Linked DNA regions of Lepisosteus oculatus. The protein of the gene in region 1 binds, or shares a complex with, the protein of each later gene. Links are inferred from orthologs where the notes say so. Each region holds a gene or a part of one and is shown in the gene's direction. Other genes may lie near its edges. The genes, in order: kita and suppressor of cytokine signaling 6.

Region 1 (9,683 bases):
CCATGAAAAAGACAAACAATTCAAAATTATATTCTATTGAATTGGATACCCTGGCTTCTTTTAGAAAATGTATAGATGATGTTCTCAGATTAATTAGCTACTAGCAACCAAACTAGCTTGGCCAAATGACCTCTTTTCATTTAAAACTGTCATTATTCCTAAGAATTAAAAATGCTATTTTGTGAAATGTAGTGACCTTCAACTTTTCCTTTTCTTTTTCATTTAAAGCATATGTAATTTCATGTTTCTTTTTTTCCTCAAAACGAATAGAAGAAAATGAATAGTAATCTTCCTCATATCTCTCCATCTTTCTGGACAGATGCTGGTGCAGAAATGAAGGCTGTGGGGTTCTTCTCAGCCTGTCTGCTTTCGGGTGTGGTTGTGAGGTTTTAGTTACACCACAACTTGTGCCCTACAAAAATAGCCAAAGACTACAGGAGTCACGTGATAGGTTTAAGACAATAGAAACTCTTTATAAGCTTAAATTTGTGGAATATATTGGACTCTTGTCATGTGAAAGGCAAAGACAGAGACAACAACCCAGTACAAAAATACAGTTTGGTAGTACCCTCAAGCCATGTGCTGGACTACGAAAAGCTGGTGTAAAACAGCACAATCGAATCTTTGTGTGGGCACTGTGGTTTGAATGTTAATTTTATTTTGAAAAAAGCCCTAGGCGTTCTCTTTTAGCTGGTAATTTCTGAAAAATTGAAATGATTTAATATCATTATTTAACATTTAGCCTTAAATGAAAGTTACGCTAAAGTAGAATACAGATCTAAAACAAAATGTGTTTTACAGTTGTATAACCCACACTTAAAACAATATGTGTTTTAAATGATGTGCTGGGATTTAAAACAAACTTTATATTCAAGTGTGATATAATAAATCTCAATATTTTGAGTAATTGTGTTTAGAGGCTATGAATTGTGGGATATATTCATATTAATTGGCAGTCATTACTTATGAAGTATTAAAAATCTCTTTAAATGGTGCTGCCATTTGTGAAACAGTGGTAGCTGATTAATAGTCATATCCCCATAAACCACAGATGACAGATGAAACAGCTCTTGGAGCTTCTATACATTAGATATCAAACAGGGAACCTGGGGACATGGAAGAGAAAGAACAAGGCATAAAATTGCATATTAACTCACTCAGCAGGTTAATGATCACTGTGTCAGACTGTGTTTACTGAAGTGTTAAGCAACAAGTAATCATAAGGTTCTCAAATGTAACCTGTACTTAACATGTGGTAAGAAAATAAGTGCCCTCAAATGCACTGTGGGCTTTCCTGAGACAATTAACACCCGGGAGGGCTGTGGAAGGAGGGCAGGGGCACTTGACCGCAGACCAGAAGGTGCCAAGAGGAGACCAAGGAAAGCTACAGCTGCTCCCCTTCAGCCCTGAAATCACTGGAGACCTTAAATCATCCAAAGCCTGCAAAACGTTAAAAATGATTGACTGTGAAGTTGTCTGAATTTCTTTGCAATCAAAGACGTTAGACATTTTCTTACTGTTCTCTGAGATTTTTGTCTCACTCTGTTGTTTGGTGTTATGAACTAAAATTTTGATCTTTATTTGTATTTTTGTTGTATGTTGCTCATTAAAGAAATTGTGTATGGATACAATGAACAAATATATACATATAATGTAAAGATACATTATCTAACAATGTCTATGTCAACTAAAAACAGGAATAGTTCCTTGGTATAGTTTCCTGAAGTGCTTCAAGACAGGAGGACAGGCATCAAAGAGATTATTAACAAGTACAGGAGGCAAGTTCCCCCACAGAGACATGTGAGCAGTGGACGAGTCTGGGGGAAGAGGCAAGAGGAGCCTATTGGATCATCACTCCACTGGCAGAAAAATGGAAAAGAAATGTTCCCTCTCATTTCTTAAGCTTTTTTCTGCGTGGCAAGTTTTTGCAGCCTTATTAACAAAAACATCATGAGTCTTTGACTTCTGAGTGTGTACTTTAGCTGGTTTTGTCTTGTGTATCAGATCCTGTTTTTTAATGCTACGAAATTATTTGGGTCTTGTGTAGACTATGTCATTCACAGATGCCTCTAGACTCTGCCTCCATAATGATAAAACAACATGACTGAACACATTAACACATCGCAGCCAAATTCAGGATGAAATCCCCCACACCACTGTGAGATTCCACATGTTGCAATCAATGCACCACTTCTGGTCTCACAACCGCATTCCACTGGTGCTTCCTTACCACTCTAACACACTTTCTATCCCCAGGACCATTATTAACAACTACTCCATTTTACAGGGTTATCCCTTCATCGATACCCTTTTTTCTGACCGCCCAATCATCTCATACGGCCTGTCACGGGAGCCGGTCTTGACTCCCGTGTAGTGCGTATTTAGAACCCTGTGCAGACGGTATAATCTGGAAGTGACTGGAAAAGAGCAATGGGGAAGACTCAGAGAAGAATGGATGGGAGGACTGACAGGGGGTGGTTCTGAACAAGTCCATTGGGAGTCCAAAAGGGAAATACAGTCCAGGCAGCTGGGAGATCAATCCAAGATGAAGACAGGAAAAAAGGAATCCAGGAACATGGAAAATAAAACCATAACGAAGCAAGGCGCTCCGAGACCCAGACTCAGATGGTCAGGACGCCTGGGGAAAAGGCCTTGCCCTCGGGCTTCTCCTGAGCATGGTGGATAGTCGGGCCTTCAGACATTCCTCTTCCAGTACTGAACCTAGAATTTAGGAGGCACATGACTTTTATAGTGACGGATAAAACAGGAGACAGGAGCACGCAATCATGGAACTAATACTAAAAGGTCGGAGCGCCCTCCAGAGGAGGGATGATGACCGTGACACCGCCGACCACCCAATCTACGTAAACATCTGGTTCTCAGCTCCCTTGAGCGCACCTTCGGCACCTTCCCCAGTAATAGAACTTGCTACATCACCGGCAAATACACACGTTCATTCAGGGCCCCTCAGGTCAATTCCGAATCACCCAGACAACATCCTGTTCCTCCAGCAACCTCACTTACTGTATGTCCTGCAAAAAATGCCCAGCTATCTATGTTGGAGAAACCGGAAAGTAGGAGACCGCTTCAGCGAACATGTTCAGGCTGTGAAGATTAAAGATTTCTCCAAGCCCATAGTTTCTCATTTCACTTCAGACGGCCATGATCACACTGATCTCACTGTCTCTGTTCTCAAAGAAGGGTTTCTCAATTCTCATAGAAGAAAGACAACAGAAACAAAACTCAACCTGAAACTAGGTTCACACCTTCCCCCTTCTCTCAATGACCAACTTATTTTTGTGTAATCTTCTCTATTCTCATGCAGGTTTTGACTTCACACCTTTCTTCACCTTTCTACACTTTGCACTTCCTGAGTGGCCTTTCTGCCTCTCTATCCCTCCCGCCTCCTCCCCTCTCTCAGTTTTTGTTCTTCGTGCTATTTAATCTTTGCTGTCTGCCCTGTCTTTCTCACACCTGAAGAAGGCTTTACAGCCAAAATGTTGTGTTTTCTCTCTTATTTTTTCAGCATGGAATACTACTTGTTTCAATACACCCTAATATTAAGTAAACCCTGCAGCCTTGACAGATATGTGTCACCAAAACACTACAAGGAACTTGGGCAAAAGGATGGTATCTCATGGGAGTATGTGAAGAATATCTGTCTCCCCTTGGGTATCCCCAAAACCACTCAGAACAACCGGTCAACACTTCCAAAATTCCTCACTGTGAAATGGCAAATTTATGATGGAAGATACAACAGATTTCTTTTAAAATGTAGGCCTGACATTTATATTATGTTTGGCTTTGGCCATTGGCAATGGCAGCTACTGTATACACTATAGATACTGGGATACTGCATGGATGGATGCAAACATGAACGTCAGTAGGCATGCCTGTGTCCTTGTTGTTGCTACGCATGCTGATGCAGCCTCCTACTTGAACTACTTCATAAAATGTTGTTGCTTTTGTGAATGGAAGCACATTTTATGAGGAAGAAATAATAAATGTTGAAGAACTCTGACCTTTATCCTCATTATTATTCTGATTCTCTTAAAAAAGATGTTTTACCCTTTGCATTTTCACTAACAACATTGGTTTTCTATACTAACTTGAAGGAGCCTAACCCACTACATACACATGAAAACACAGCTGTTCAGCACAGAAACACAAATATCCACAGAGTTAATGACATACCAATAGACCTCAGTGTCCCCCACCCAGCAGTTCAAAATCCCACAATCCACTGAAACAAAACAAATATACACGGCCAATGAATTGACTATATAGAACATTATATATATATACAGTACAATTATAGTAGAGTTAAAAACCATAGTTTTTATCTTTTTAAATTGTGTGCGACATGTATTGATCACACTTGATCTTCTTAATAAGTGTGTAAAATAACTGACAACATATGCTTATACCCTTGGGAACTAATTGTATTTTACATATTTATGTTGAAAAGAAGACAGATTAGCTCCTGGACACAGATTCCTGGATCACTGTTCAAAGTCATAAAACCTGCTTATGTCTCAGCCCCCAGAGAGACACTTGGTGGGCAAATGTCATCATGTCTGCCCTGATGTCAAATCCTTTTATACAGTTGTACTAAAGAAGGATATCTGCTACAGCTGTTGGCAGAATTTTGTACATCATTAAAAATTCATCTGCACAGAAATAAGAGGAACGTGAATTCCAAATCAGCAGACACTGTGTTCACTGAGAATTTGACATACTGTGAAAAGAGGCTTTAGAAGCACCGAGTTCTTGGAGTTGTTTGCAACCACTACTATGAAGGTAACTTATTTTTTAACAAAATATTGTCATATTTAAAGTGCATTTTACCCCGAGGTAGACACTGAGCTCTGCAGACAGTTTCATATTTGTTCCAGTCAAGCACCTTGGCAGCCACCACCTCTGGTGTGAAAGACCAGTCAAAAACAAACAAAAAAAGGAACTGAAAGACAGGAATTTGGTCACAAAGTTCATTTTCTGACACTATAAGCATCTTTAATAATTTCACTACTTAAGATGATCAAAGCATTACAAACCACAGAAAATTGTCATACTGATTATAAAATTATACTGCAGATATTAGAGATGAATGATTCAATGCAAAGATATCATATCCTTGAGATCTGCAAATGTTGACTTCAAAGCCCAATCATTATGTGAGGTGTCACTTATACACTGTAACTAAACAAAGTCCACATAAAATATGTATTTTATACGAGGTCAACTAGAATAACAAAATCCCTGCTTGTGGGACACTTCCGTTGTGCCCAGTGTTTCAGGGTACAGAAAAACTGACTAGTTTGCTTTCGAGGTGACAGTAAGAAACTAGTGTATTAAAATACACGAATTTAGCATTAAAAATAAACTTTGGCAGCTGAGGTTTATTTTGTTAATGTTTTATTGATATATTTACAAGTTCGTTTAATTTTTTTGCAGTACTGTAACTTAGTCTTGTAAAACAATTTAATTATCCAATTAAGCCAATCATATTACGTTTAAAGGAACTTTCTTCTTTCTTCCTTCCTGCGGTGGTGTCTTGGAGACAGACTGAAGGGCTGCTGGTAGGAAGTGTTCTGCGCCTTTAAGACTTGAATAGGTGGAACGAAGCAGGCTGTAGTGTTAAGTGCTGCGCAACTCAGGCGACAAAGCAGATCTATAGCAGAGAGGTGGACAAACAGATAAATGGAATGTTAACAATGGGATATACCTGGGTTTCGTTGTTTACCTTGATGCTGTTATGGTTTGAAAAAGGTAGGGTTCTTCACCGGTGAAAGCAGGCTGAAGTCGCTAATGCGTGTTGTAGGAATTTGATGATTTATCAGTGATGCTTGAACGGAGCAGGATTTCACTTTAAGAAATCTAAGTTTAATTACATTAAACTAAACTTAAACTAAAGTTTTTTTTAAGAGGATGAAGTTACTTTAATTGGGGATGTCAAAATCTTGTTTGTGTATCTCAAATGGTTAGTGTATAATTTAACTTTAAATTGTTTCGATTCTCTGCACCTAACATAGGAAAGCACTTTCTCATTTTAAATTTATGTGAACTGGATTAATAACATCTATCAGCACAGGACTCTATAAAATATTAGTTTTAACCCCTAAAGTTACATTATTCTTTCATGCATATAATATAGTGAATTATTTATGATATCGGTGAAAAAAAACTACAGTTCATTAATGTAACAGTTGTTTGCTAGTTGTGGAAAAAATGTTACATGTATTTAGACTTTTGCTCTTTTATTTAATATTTACAAAAAGTTATAAAGAGATACATTACAACAGAGCACCTGTAATATGAATGTCGTACTCCACGACACCACTGGCTTACGTAGCAGGATAAGCGCATCGGCAGGGGTGCTGGCGCTGAATTCGACTAACAGCTTAATTCGTTAATAATTTAAAACATTTATTGTACAACAAATTACATATCACTAAAATGCTGTGTGTTCTCCATTCTCCTCTTCGTAAATGATCTATTTAACCACTTTTTACATGAAGAAATCGATTCCTTCTTTTCTGTCGTTACAATACAAAAGTACATTTGCATGCTTGCTGCACAACATACCATGTTATTAAAAGGCGCTTCGGAGCAGACTGACTTTGTTGTTAGGTACGACAGGTAACGTGGAGGTGGAGCATCAAGGAGCGGCCGTATTTGTTTTAAGGGTGCTTTAAAAACTGCCTGGACACGGATGTAGGTAGTGTTTCATTTCGGCAGTGAATGGATCACGCCTTACACAAGACAAACTTCCAGCGCTTGCAACTCGTATGATAGTAACGTACGTTCATTATAAAAGCAACAAAGCTTTTGCTAAATTAAAGTTGCAACCGTAGCCCCTTTGAGGAAAACGGTTTGGAAACGTGATACTAGTAGTACGAGTAGTCAGAGCGCTTTGGCTGGACAGTGAAGCGGTAATTTGAGCAAATCTAAATGAATATACCATAGCCTGATGTAAAGGAGCAGACGTATTTCTTTTCTCTTGAAGACAGGGATTGTTGTTACATTCGTGGAGACAGTTAAAGCTCAGTGTCCAAGCTGTATCAGTCTGGTCATCAAGGACTTCACGGAAGAGGACAGGACTGCGTGAATTTATGTATGCTTCTGTTTTCGCTCACAAGCTAAATCCCCAAAGTGTTTTTCTCTGCAGTAATAACAGGCTTCCCATTTAAACAAGTATCTAATTAGTCTGTATTGGAGAAACACCGTCTTATCCCACAGCCTAATGCTACAAATCTGACTTTTTGCGAGGCTATAATCTTGCATTAGTAGTTTTAAAGCAGTTAAGCCATCCAGCCCTTGTATCAAAAAATGACAAAGAGTGTGTTCTTATGTGCTTTTGACTGCACAATCTTTTTCTCTTTGGATCTTTAAACAGTTGCAAACTCGGTGAGGAAAGGCGGAAGGTGTGTGACTGGAGGAGCAAGCAAAACAAACCTAGTCTGCGGAATTTACAACTCTGTACATGTTTACATGTACAAAATTGTAATGTAATTGTCATGCAATACATGATTTGAATATAGTCTTTTGTCTTGTCCTTGCAAGTCCGATGGTCACGATTGTTCATTGTGGACTTTTTATTAGCCCTCCGATTTAGAGGGTACGCAGGGTAAACCTTAGAGCTAAAATTAGGCATTTAGAATCTGTCCATCAGTCTGTTTTCTACACTGCTTTATCCAGGACGTTGTTGTGGGGGAGATGGAGCCTATCTCAACAAGCAAAGGGTGCAAGGCAGGATACACCCTGGATACACCCAGTCTATCGCAGGCCACACACACACAGACACACTCACACCAAGGCCAGTCTTCCCAGAAGCCAGTTAACTCACCAGTATGTCTTTGGACTATGGGAGGAAATCCACACAAACAAGTGGAGAATGATATGCACGCTCTAGATCGCACCTCTGGTCCTGAATTGAACCCAGGACCCCAGTGCTGCGAGGCAGCGATGCTGACCACTGTAGCACAGTGCTGCTCTACATTTGGAAATTAATCTATTATTTGAAAGTGAAAATAACATAAATCTGTTTGCCTTGAAATTATTCCACTATTTATCCCTCACAGTTGCGTGCAGGCTGAGTATCCTGTCAGGCTGTCTGTTGTCTGTCTTTATAACATTCAGTACATAATTAACTTGAATCCAGGATTTTGCAGAACAAAGAAATCAATGACCTTTCATTTACAGCTTCAGTCAGTAGCTTCCATATGTGTATAGTATTTACAGATGTTGAAATAATTTGTACATGTTTTCATGGGGCAGTCAAGGACATTAACTTTCTTATTTTAAAGCCACACAATTGCAGCTTTAGCCTTGTGCTTTGGTTCTCTAGTATATCTTGCGGAAAAGTAATTTTTGTCTGCGTTTTAGATCCGAGTAGGTTTTTCTCTAAGATTTGCCAGTATTTTGCTCTGTCTATGTTCTCATCAGCTTTCTTCTTTTGATGAGAAGCAGAAGAATAACATGGTGCTGCCACCATGCTTGGCGACAGGGGTGGGTTTGACTGAGTGATAATCGATGTTGTATTTGTGTCAGATATAACACTTGGCATGTAGATCAAAAGGGTCCAGTTTTTTCTTGTCTGATCACAAAGCCTTTCGCTAAATGATTGCATATCACTTAAGGCTTTTGTTGCAAAGCCCATGAGGAGATTTTAGATGTTCTCTTTTGTTCCATACAAGCCTCATTGTGGAGTGAACTCTGTAACTCTGTAAGTCACCATTGAGCTCCCTTTGGCATCCCTCACCAGTTTCCTCCTTGCCTAGCTGCTCTGTTTGGAGGGACAGGCTGATCTATGGAGTGTCTGGCTGCCCTCGACTCCTTACTGATTGACTTCACCATGCTCAAAGAGACATTAACGGTCTTTGTTTTCATATTCTGCTCCTCGTCTGCGCCTTTATGCAGCTTTATCCTTGACTTGTTTTGAAACCCCATTGGTCTTCATGGTTAAATTGTTGCTTGAAATCCACTATCTTCCCGAGAGACCTTACAAAGATACTGTAGTTGTATTTATATTTAAACCATCTAAACCACCTTTATTGCACACAGACCACTCTACTAATTATGTTTCTAATAGGTAATTTTGTGAACCTAAATTAATTTTTCTGAGCGTTCTGGCGCACTATGGCTGCCGTCGCATCATCCAGGTGGGGCTGCACATTAGTGGTGGTGGAGGGGAGTCCCCATTACCTGTAAAGCGCTTTGAGTGGAGTGTCCAGAAAAGTGCTATATAAGTGTAAGCAATTATTATTATTATTATTATTATTATTATTATAATAATTGTAATGACTTCCATTTTTCATTGAACAATGTATTGTTTTTGCTTTGAGTGTTGAAGTAGGTTGTAGATACAGTATAACAAATGTTTGCTGCTTTAAAGTGCCATGACAGCCCACTTGAAAACAGGAGAATATGAAAGCTGTGCAAAGGTCTGAATACTTTGGAAAGGTGTTATACAATAATTTTATTCAAACAGGGGACATGTACTTGTCCTTCATTTAAGTGAAGGAAGGGGGTCTTTAGTCAATCCAATATAGACTATTCCGTTCAACCTAATAAAATAGGAATGGAAATTTAATAAATAAAATGTCTTGAGCAGAAAAAGTAAATGTCTATAGAGTTTAACCTTAGCTTTGCTTATGCTGGTTGACCAATATCATGCTTTTGAT
Region 2 (8,599 bases), on another chromosome or scaffold:
ATGATATAAATATTATTCTTAAAGAGGAATTTGACAGTATTTCATTGCGAATATTCATCACAACAGCCTTAGGTTAATCGAAAACTGGAATAATATTGATGCTCCTGCATTTCGACATCTAATTTGTGATGAAATATTCAATGTCCATTAGTTAGTCTCAAATATGTACTGGAATATGCACAGAATCAAAATACTTTTGAAACAGAATCTTGGATAAATCTAAGTTAAAAATTGGAGGGGATAAATTTCCATTTATTCTATTTGACTTTCATATCATTTCATCGTCTGTACAAGATAGAAAATTAGTCTTGAAAGGCATTTGTGATGTGGGTCACATAATACATTCAGGTCATGCGCCCCTACTTAATGAATCTATATTATCTTGAAAACAAGGACGCAGAAGGATCACAAGGCTGCTCTTCTGTTCAATCTGTAAAGCAAATTTAAATTGTGATGCTCCTGCCAGCAACATTCCCTCTGTCAATGAAATTGTGGTGTATTGCGATTAAAACTGGCAAACCCTTGTGTTTTTTACATTCTCACATATAATCTTTGTGTGTGCAACCTCAAAGACACACAAGCTGTCATGGAGTTTTGTTGTGTCATATATTCAGAAAATAATCAGAACAGCCTAAAGGGAATGCAAGCGTTAACATTACCTATGTCGTTTCTTAAAGTATCATACCCCAAACAGGTTAATTGACTGTAGATTAGATTAATTATTAGATTAGTGATTAAGAGGCGAAAATCTGATGCAGTTTTACAGTGTTTTAGTACACAAATATTAAAAAGGTATTAAATAAAAGGGCTGTAGTCTAGAAGTTTGTGCCTCATAAAATTATTGTTTCCTTTAAATGTTGATAATTTTCATAATTTTCACAAGCACCGTGATTCAAAAACGACTTCTAAACATTTTCTAACACCTAGAGCTTTATCCTTTACAATTAATAATCGTGTGCACTTGCACTGGTGAAGATTGGCATTTATTATTACTACTTTATTAAATATTTCTGCACTCAGTACTTATTAATGACATGATATAATAGCAATAGTTTATCATTGAAGATAGCATTTTAGCCTTACATTCCTTTGTATAAAAATAGGATAGATAGTAAAGTACTGGTCTCTGTTTCTCACTTATTATATTCTGTTTGATTTCCTATCATTTCTGTCCTTGCCAAAAGCATGCTTGACATTGTAACAGTACACCACATGTCTTGTCAATGAACAGGGTTCTTTAGTTCCATATTTAAATTCCTCCTCACTCTTTTTGGTGCCACCTCTTAAATCTTGCTTATTTTAAAATCCCAGCATTTAAATTCCTTAATCTGATTTAATACATTAGAGGTTTAATTCTCATTTAATCATTGGTATCACACCAACTCCACATATTTAACTGTATTATTTTGGTTTTACCAGCTTTATACTGTATTTTGTGATTTTAAAAAGACCTTTCATTGTTCACAGGTTTAGCTTTCTTAATGGATTGAAATATAATCTCTGCTAAAGTTTGTTATTAAATTACCTGGGAAGTTGGCCATTATCTTTTTCCTTTTTTTCCACGAGAGATCAACTGATTTTAAGTTTCACCTTTTGCGGAAAATCTCTATAATCACCCCTGTGCTTGCATCTCCTTTGACTTCTTCAGTAATACGCTGATTGCTGTGGCTCTGTCATGTTTCTTTCCCCAGATCTTTAGGAATTGGAAGACTGGCTCTCATCTGCTTCATTTTATGTTGGGAGTTTTTTTCCTAACGTTCACTCTGGAGCTCTGAAGCCTCCTTAAATCCACACTGTACAGAAGAACATTGGGTTTACTCTGATTTATCTCCAGCACAGCTTTCCTAAAATCAGCAGGCTGTTCACACTATTTCAGATTTCTATCTTTAAGAATCAACCGATAGTTTGACACCTTGAGTTCACTGATAATCAATTGCAGACGTGCATCAATTTTCTAACCTCTTTATCTAAAGCAATTGATGGGGAGGCTTGAGATTTACCTAGCAAGCAATGGGCGCAAGGCAGCATACACCCTGGATGAGATGCTAGTTCATTGCAGGGCACACACAGGCATGCACGCACTCACACCATGGACCAAATAACCTAGAGGCCAAGTAACCTACCAGTATGTCTTTGGACTGTGGAAAGAAACCATTTATTGTCAAATAAATTTAACATTTTTAAAATGAGTAATGGAGTAATTGCACCACTTAATGCTTAACCTACTTAATGCTAACTTTCGGTGTGACTGTGGTAACCATTCCTTGTTTTCTGTATTGTTTCCGACCGTTATTATCGGAACCAATTCAGATCTGTTTTGCCACACATGAGTATTGAAAATATATGTTTTCACAGGGGTGGCACAAGGGTGTAGTTGTTAGCATAGCTGCCTTGAAGTGCTGGGGCCCTGGGTTCAACTCCAGACCTGTGGTGCTATCTGCGTGGAGTTTGCATGGTCTCCTCCTGTTGTTGTGGGTTTTCTCTGGGTGCTCCGCAATCCAAAAACATACTGGTAGGTTAATTGGTTTCTGGGAAAACTGGCCCTGGTGTGAGTGTGTGCACATTTGTCTCTGTGTGGCATCCCATCCAGGGTGTATCCTGCTCTGTGCCCGTTGCTTCCCGAGATAGAATAAGTAGTTAGAAAATGAATGGATGGATGTCTTCATAGTGCATACGCCCAGTCCCCCACAACTGTTATTCATATTTAAAGGGACTTCTGTCACACAGTTTCTTTCTTCTGGATAGGTTCCTAATCTGTCTCATTGAGAAAATGTGTATTTCTAGGTGGCTCATCTGAAGAGGCCCGTGCCAGGAGGGTTCGAACTCGGGAGCTGGTACACTTCAGCTGCCGTCCTGCTGACTTGAATGGGCCTGAGAGTCCCAAGGGAGGCAGCCAGGCTGCACAACTGCAATGTTGTGTCTGGCCAGCTGCCAGCAGTGTCACAGGGTGCAAGTCAGAGCTTCAGGTTGGTCTCGCTGCTTAACAGAGGAAGATCCTTTCTTTGTGATTTCCTCCAAGCCAAGGCAGCACATTTGTAAGCATTCCAAGTATGGATGTTTGAAAGTACAATGCATATGTTATTTATATGGTTGGTATTCTTCATTCAAGTTACTAATATTACATTAGTGGCTTGTTCACTATTTTGGGCTAATTAGTAAACACACTGTGATTAAAGTGTGATGAGAAAGACAAAAACAAGAGAGGGTGTTACAGAACGGTGAATATTCCTTATTTTTCTTTGGTAATTATGACCAGACTTTGCATATGTACCTTCTGTGTCTGGAATGTGAATATGCTAGTCTATTCATGTTAACAGATGAATCTGAAGTAACACTCAGGGAAATTATATTACCTTCAGTTACTTTTTACACATCCCACTTATTCTACCCAAAATTGTTTTGGGAAAGTCCCCATTATCACAGCCTCTCCAATGTATGGAAAGATAATCAGATGCAACTAGAATTCTATTGTCTGTTTTTCTGTTTTTTACATTAGTCTCTCTTAACGAGCAAATTCAGTTTGATTTTTCTGTATTCCTTGCATGAATCACTTTTCAGGTTAGATATGTAAGAAATAGAATTGGTGCCTTAAACGTACAGTAATTACATGATTCACCATTTAAGTATACTTTGTGGGTATTCAATATGTGGCATTATGGGAACATACTTTTATGTATTCTGTTGAATAATACATTAGTTTCAGCTTTTTAAAGCAATATATTTTAAAGTTCAAACAAATAATAGAGTGGGGGGTATAGATAACACTCATTGTAATAACATTTGTTATTCTATCATTAAATAACTAAATTTACCATTAAAAACCTCTTTTTTAAAACAATTCAATAAATTGTGCCATGTGTAATCTTGAAATATCCATTTTATTAGAAGGGGATGTGAAACTTTATTATTTAGATTTAAGATCAACCGTTAAAAGAAGATTTATGTCTACATTTGAATATTTTGCCTATAGCAAACTATCAATTGGGCAGGAAAGATCATTGCATTTACAAACATGGAACAGAAGAACAGAAGTCAGCATTGCAGCACACGAGCCCTGGGTTCAGTTCTGGACCTGAGGTGCTGTCAGTGTGGAGTTTGTATGTTCTCCCTCTGTTCTTGTGGGTTTCCGTCTCAATACATACTCGTCAGTTAATTGGCTTGTGTGTGTGCCCTACAATGGACTGCTGACTTATCCAGGGTGTACCCTGCCTTGCGCCCGTTGCTTGCTGGGTTAGGCTGTGGCCCAGTATTAAATTGAAAAAAGTCAGAAAATGGATGGAACAGAAGGTGTGAAACTTCAGGTTTTTGTTTTGTACTGCTGCCCTGTTTTGTACTCACCAACAAGGCCTACAGTGAGGTATTTTTTAAAGACATTTAAGGTCTTAGTGTAACATTATCGTAACATACAATTAAGCAGAATGAAACACTTCACACTGCCTGCTTTTTCCAGATGTGATGCAGTTTATGCCTGTGTGCGTATATATATGTATTCTATTTGTCTATTTTGTCAAAGCGCCTTTCCACGCTGCGCGCACGGCTCACTGCACCTGCGTGCTCTCCACGCCACGGTTCTGCTTGAGTAAACACTCGCTCCAGCCCAGGGCCCTCCTCTCCCACAATGCAACAGGCAACAAAGGCAGAGGAAGCGAGCGACGGAAAGAGAAGGGGAAAAAAAGTTTAGACATGATTGACAAAGCCCTAGAGAACTGAAGCAGAAAGGGCTCTGGGCTAGGAATGACCACTGTAGTCATACTCGGACAGAAAAAGATCATTTTAATGTTCTCGTCCAAGCGCAGCAGGAATCTCGGGCGGCCGGTTTTGTGTGTTTAGTTTGTGATCCACTCCGTGTGTTCAGAACAGCACTGAGGTGCGGAGGGGAGGGGAGGGAATGAAGGTGACTAGGAAATGTGATTTAAATGTGATTTAAACCTTCGGGAGGTTTTATTCAGAACGCGGCCTGTGGGGAAAGTGGGAATCCGGAAGGGGGAAAGCTGGGTAAGTATCAGAAAGAAGAGTAAAAAAAAAATCCTAGATTGAAAGAAATGCTGCGTTTCTGTGAGTTGAGTGAGTTTTGTGGTGGCCGTGGGTGATTCTCCCGGTGGAAACCCGGGATAAACAAAGAAATGCAAGTGCCGTTTTGGGGTTTTTTTTTTTTAGAAAGCCAGACGTTAATCGCAGACAAGTTTAGTTTTCTACTCGCGTTTCATGCTTGACTTGCTCGGAGACGGTACGTGAAGGCAGCTGGCAGGGGATCCTTTGTTGCGGCCTGTGGGTGTTGAGCCAAAACTTGGGTTTGTCCGTGTAAGGTGCTTCATCTTCCGAAAATCCAAACAAAAACAGAGACCGAGACCATATCGCATCCCTTACGTGTGTCCGTCCACTTCAGCGGGTATTGATTTTGTTTTCAAGGCCACTGGCGGGTCTGATCGGAGGATCCCTCTGCGAGCCCCTGTCTTCCAGCTCGCCTTCGACTCGAAATCGAGCCCCGGGCTCCACCGGTCCGTGGGCCCGACCTGCGGAGAACTTGGGGGTTAGTGTTCAGGTTATTCCTTCCCGGCTGGTAATATTACTCCTTGCAAAGCTTGTACGTTTAAATGTGATCGCTTACACGGTTACCAGGAATCTGCTGTGAGCTGCCAAGCTGTTTTGTACAGACCTCTGTGTTTGACATGTGATGGATAACTTTTACCAAAGGCGTAGATAAACAACGATAGGAAATTAAGTTAGAGAAACACCATTTATTTTTAATAAAATATTTTTTTAATAGTCGGGTGTTTAAGAATAAACTGAGCCCTTTTAATAAAGTATGGGCCTAGTGATCTGTATACTCTATGCATTCGGCTCTGCCAAGTCGCCATACTTTTAAAGTTGTGAAGCTCTCTTTTTTTCTCCTATTCTTTTTTTTATAATCGTTACTTTTTTATAATTCGGTAATCTCTCGATCACATAAAAGTAAAATTTAATAATAATGCGCCATCCCAGACTGCTGTAGCTGATTACTGGCATGTTTTTTTTTAAAGATCGGTGTGTTTTATTATCTTGTCGTCATGTAACATCAGGCTCATTTCCACTTAAAATACTAAACGCCACTTGTGTTCAGAGTCATGTTTTAAATTAGCCAGCGTCCGAAGCAAGTGATTTATTTCCTGGTGTCAAGTAACAAACCAAAAAAGGGACAGGATTTTGCAGCTTAATCTCTTTTATACCAGGAATTACATTTATTTAACTAATTTTAATAAACGGTGAAAACCCGCTCTAGTAAAATTGTATTAAATGATTCACTGCACTTTTAAATTCAGGCTTGCACACGCTTTGAATTATCACATGAGAAGTGGTTAAAACAGGGTAAATCAACTCACTCTTGTTTATTAAATCTGTTCATGCTGAAGCAGGGAAAAATGCTGACTTAAGTATGCAGAGTAAGAAGAGTGTGGAGCATAACCTTGGTTTTATCTAATTTTGATTACTTTGCAAGTTGGAAGTTTGTTGGTCAGCACAGTGATAACTTAAGGTGTGTGTTTAATTGATTTGTTTATACTGATTAAAGAATATCCCACAGATTTAGTAAGGCTCTTTTACTTCAAGTGAAGAATTTGTGTTTTCCACACACTATTGGTTTTAACATCTCAGTGGCTTTTAGAATGAAAGAGCCCTGTGGTTGGTTTTCTGTGCGCGTTAGAGCAGGTGTTCCCAATCCTGATGGTGGAGGTCCACACACCTGGTTTTTGTTCCAGCCATGCTCCGTTACACAGTGAATGCTAAATTGCTTTAATAACAGATCGGTTTAAACTGTTTGATCACTTTCGGTTCTTACACATTTGGGGTTGCCTTCTTACTAACGGTGAAATCGTTAATTCTTTTAAAGCTTCAGTTAGGTAATGATCTCAGCTGGAATGAAAACCGGCAGGTGTCCTGACCTCCAGGATCGGGATTGAGATCCCCTGCGTCCGAGCACTGCTTCCCAATCCCCAATCCCGGAGTGCCCCCATGCTTGCTTGCTTTTTCTTTCTTTCCCTAAAACTAAAACCCCGGCAGAAAAGTCAAAAAGCAAGCAGTTCAGATAAAGGTTTGTTAAAAATAATCAAGATCGTGTTACAATGAATGCTAGGTATCCTAGCGTTGGGACGCACTGAGACGTATTCCTAGATTACTATATTTTGTTGTCCACGTTTTTGTGTACTATGAACGGTATTACCCTTTTCCTGTTTTGCCCTTCAGTAGAGTTTGCTTCTCTTTCTGTAAAACAGCAAGTTTGGACTAAAAATTGCAAATTGATTGTTTTAAGATTAATCTGTCGGATATATGGTTGTGCAAAACACTCTGCGGGACATCTGTAAACACTTTAAAACCAGAAGTAAAACACCATTTTTTATTAACATGTTGTGGCATATGGAGAAATAGAACTGCTGAGATCCTGAATGCTCCCAGTTTCACTTCAGGTTTGAGGTGAATGATCGGATTTCTGAAATAAATTTCAAAAGTGTTGGTCAGCTGCTCAGTTTTGCAAGCGCCACAGTTTTCTCGGACAGCAGCAAACTTTTCATATTACTCTCATGGTGGTAGCTCTGTTATCAGGATTTTTTTTAACATTTTAGGGACAGACCTGGATTTGGTTTTCCTATCCAGTGTATTTCCTTCGAGTTAGACTTTGTTGCTGTATACACCCAAGCTGCTGAGGGTTTATTACACCAAATGATTTTACAGTTCAGGGGAAGCAGTTATTGGTTTCAGTGCTGGCTGTGAGACTTTGGTCACATCTGAAATACGTCAGCTGTAGATGCTGGCTACATAAGTATTGTTTCTGCGGAGGTGTGGTTCATTAGACGTGCGGCAGAATTAACATGGAGATTTAATTAATTTTTTACTTGGGCAAATGGGTGGAGCAGGGGTTGGGTAAGTTTGGTTTCCTCTCAACCTAAGTGTGTTAAATTATTAGCACATGCATCTCCTCATGGCTCATGATTTGTAGCTGCCTGCATCTGTCAACCTCACAGTCAGTCTTCATATTTACATTTAAGGTGTTTTGCAACTGTGCTGAGGGGAAGGACTCATTTTTTGCAGGCTTTTACTCATGTGATGTAGTTCCTTTTCTGGTATGTTGAGAAACATAGAGACTTACAGCTCTGGGACAAACCATATGTACACCAAGGAAGGTTATTTGTGTGTGGCCAGTGTTCTTTTGCTGAAACGCGTTGCATTTTAAGTAGAGTATGTTTTCATAAATGGACAGAAAAAATATTTTGACTGGATGCTGATTTTTATCCTGTTAAATGGAAGGGATGTGTGTTGCTGACATAATTGGTGTATTGGGTACTTCTTCATTGCAGGTGTATTGTATAAGTAGACACCAGGGTTCTCCCTTCAGAAGGCCTTTATGATGTAGCTGTCTTCCAGGTGCTTCATCCTCACACTGAGAAACAGATACAAGACCATTACTTTACCAGCCCATTACTCTAAAGCACTTAAGCGGTGGACAAAAACAAACATAGCCCTCCAGGAGTGATAAGCCAGCTTTTGCAAGGGTCGTGTTTCAGACTAAGCTGTCCAGTGGAGATGTTGTGTTCACATCTCTTCTGGCTTACATTACAGTGCTGTGTTT

The links.
Region 2: the proteins of kita (region 1) and suppressor of cytokine signaling 6 are in contact, whole or in part, in a crystal structure (PDB 2VIF), measured with the Homo sapiens proteins. The link is inferred for Lepisosteus oculatus from reciprocal best matches to the Homo sapiens genes KIT and SOCS6. Residues at the interface, in NP_000213.1 of Homo sapiens: Asn566, Asn567, Tyr568, Val569, Tyr570, Ile571, Asp572, Pro573, Thr574; in NP_004223.2 of Homo sapiens: Arg391, Glu395, Arg409, Asp410, Ser411, Ser412, Asp413, Ser419, Phe422, Thr428, Leu429, His430, Thr431, Arg432, Phe442, Tyr443, Glu444, Gln445, Val448, His460, Asp464, Ala469, Phe470, Cys471, Tyr472, Ser473, Arg474, Ser475, Arg476, Thr482.

What each region holds. Positions count from the first base shown.
Region 1 is NC_090696.1:78,569,761-78,579,443, forward strand, and holds the start of kita (mast/stem cell growth factor receptor kita), read left to right. Parts: upstream 1-5,611; 5' UTR 5,612-5,705; coding exon 5,706-5,769; intron 5,770-9,683. UniProt on the Homo sapiens protein: Tyrosine-protein kinase that acts as a cell-surface receptor for the cytokine KITLG/SCF and plays an essential role in the regulation of cell survival and proliferation, hematopoiesis, stem cell maintenance, gametogenesis, mast cell development, migration and function, and in melanogenesis.
Region 2 is NC_090701.1:53,943,362-53,951,960, forward strand, and holds the start of suppressor of cytokine signaling 6, read left to right. Parts: upstream 1-4,609; 5' UTR 4,610-4,995; intron 4,996-5,409; exon of another isoform or gene 5,410-5,530; intron 5,531-5,883; exon of another isoform or gene 5,884-8,599. UniProt on the Homo sapiens protein: SOCS family proteins form part of a classical negative feedback system that regulates cytokine signal transduction.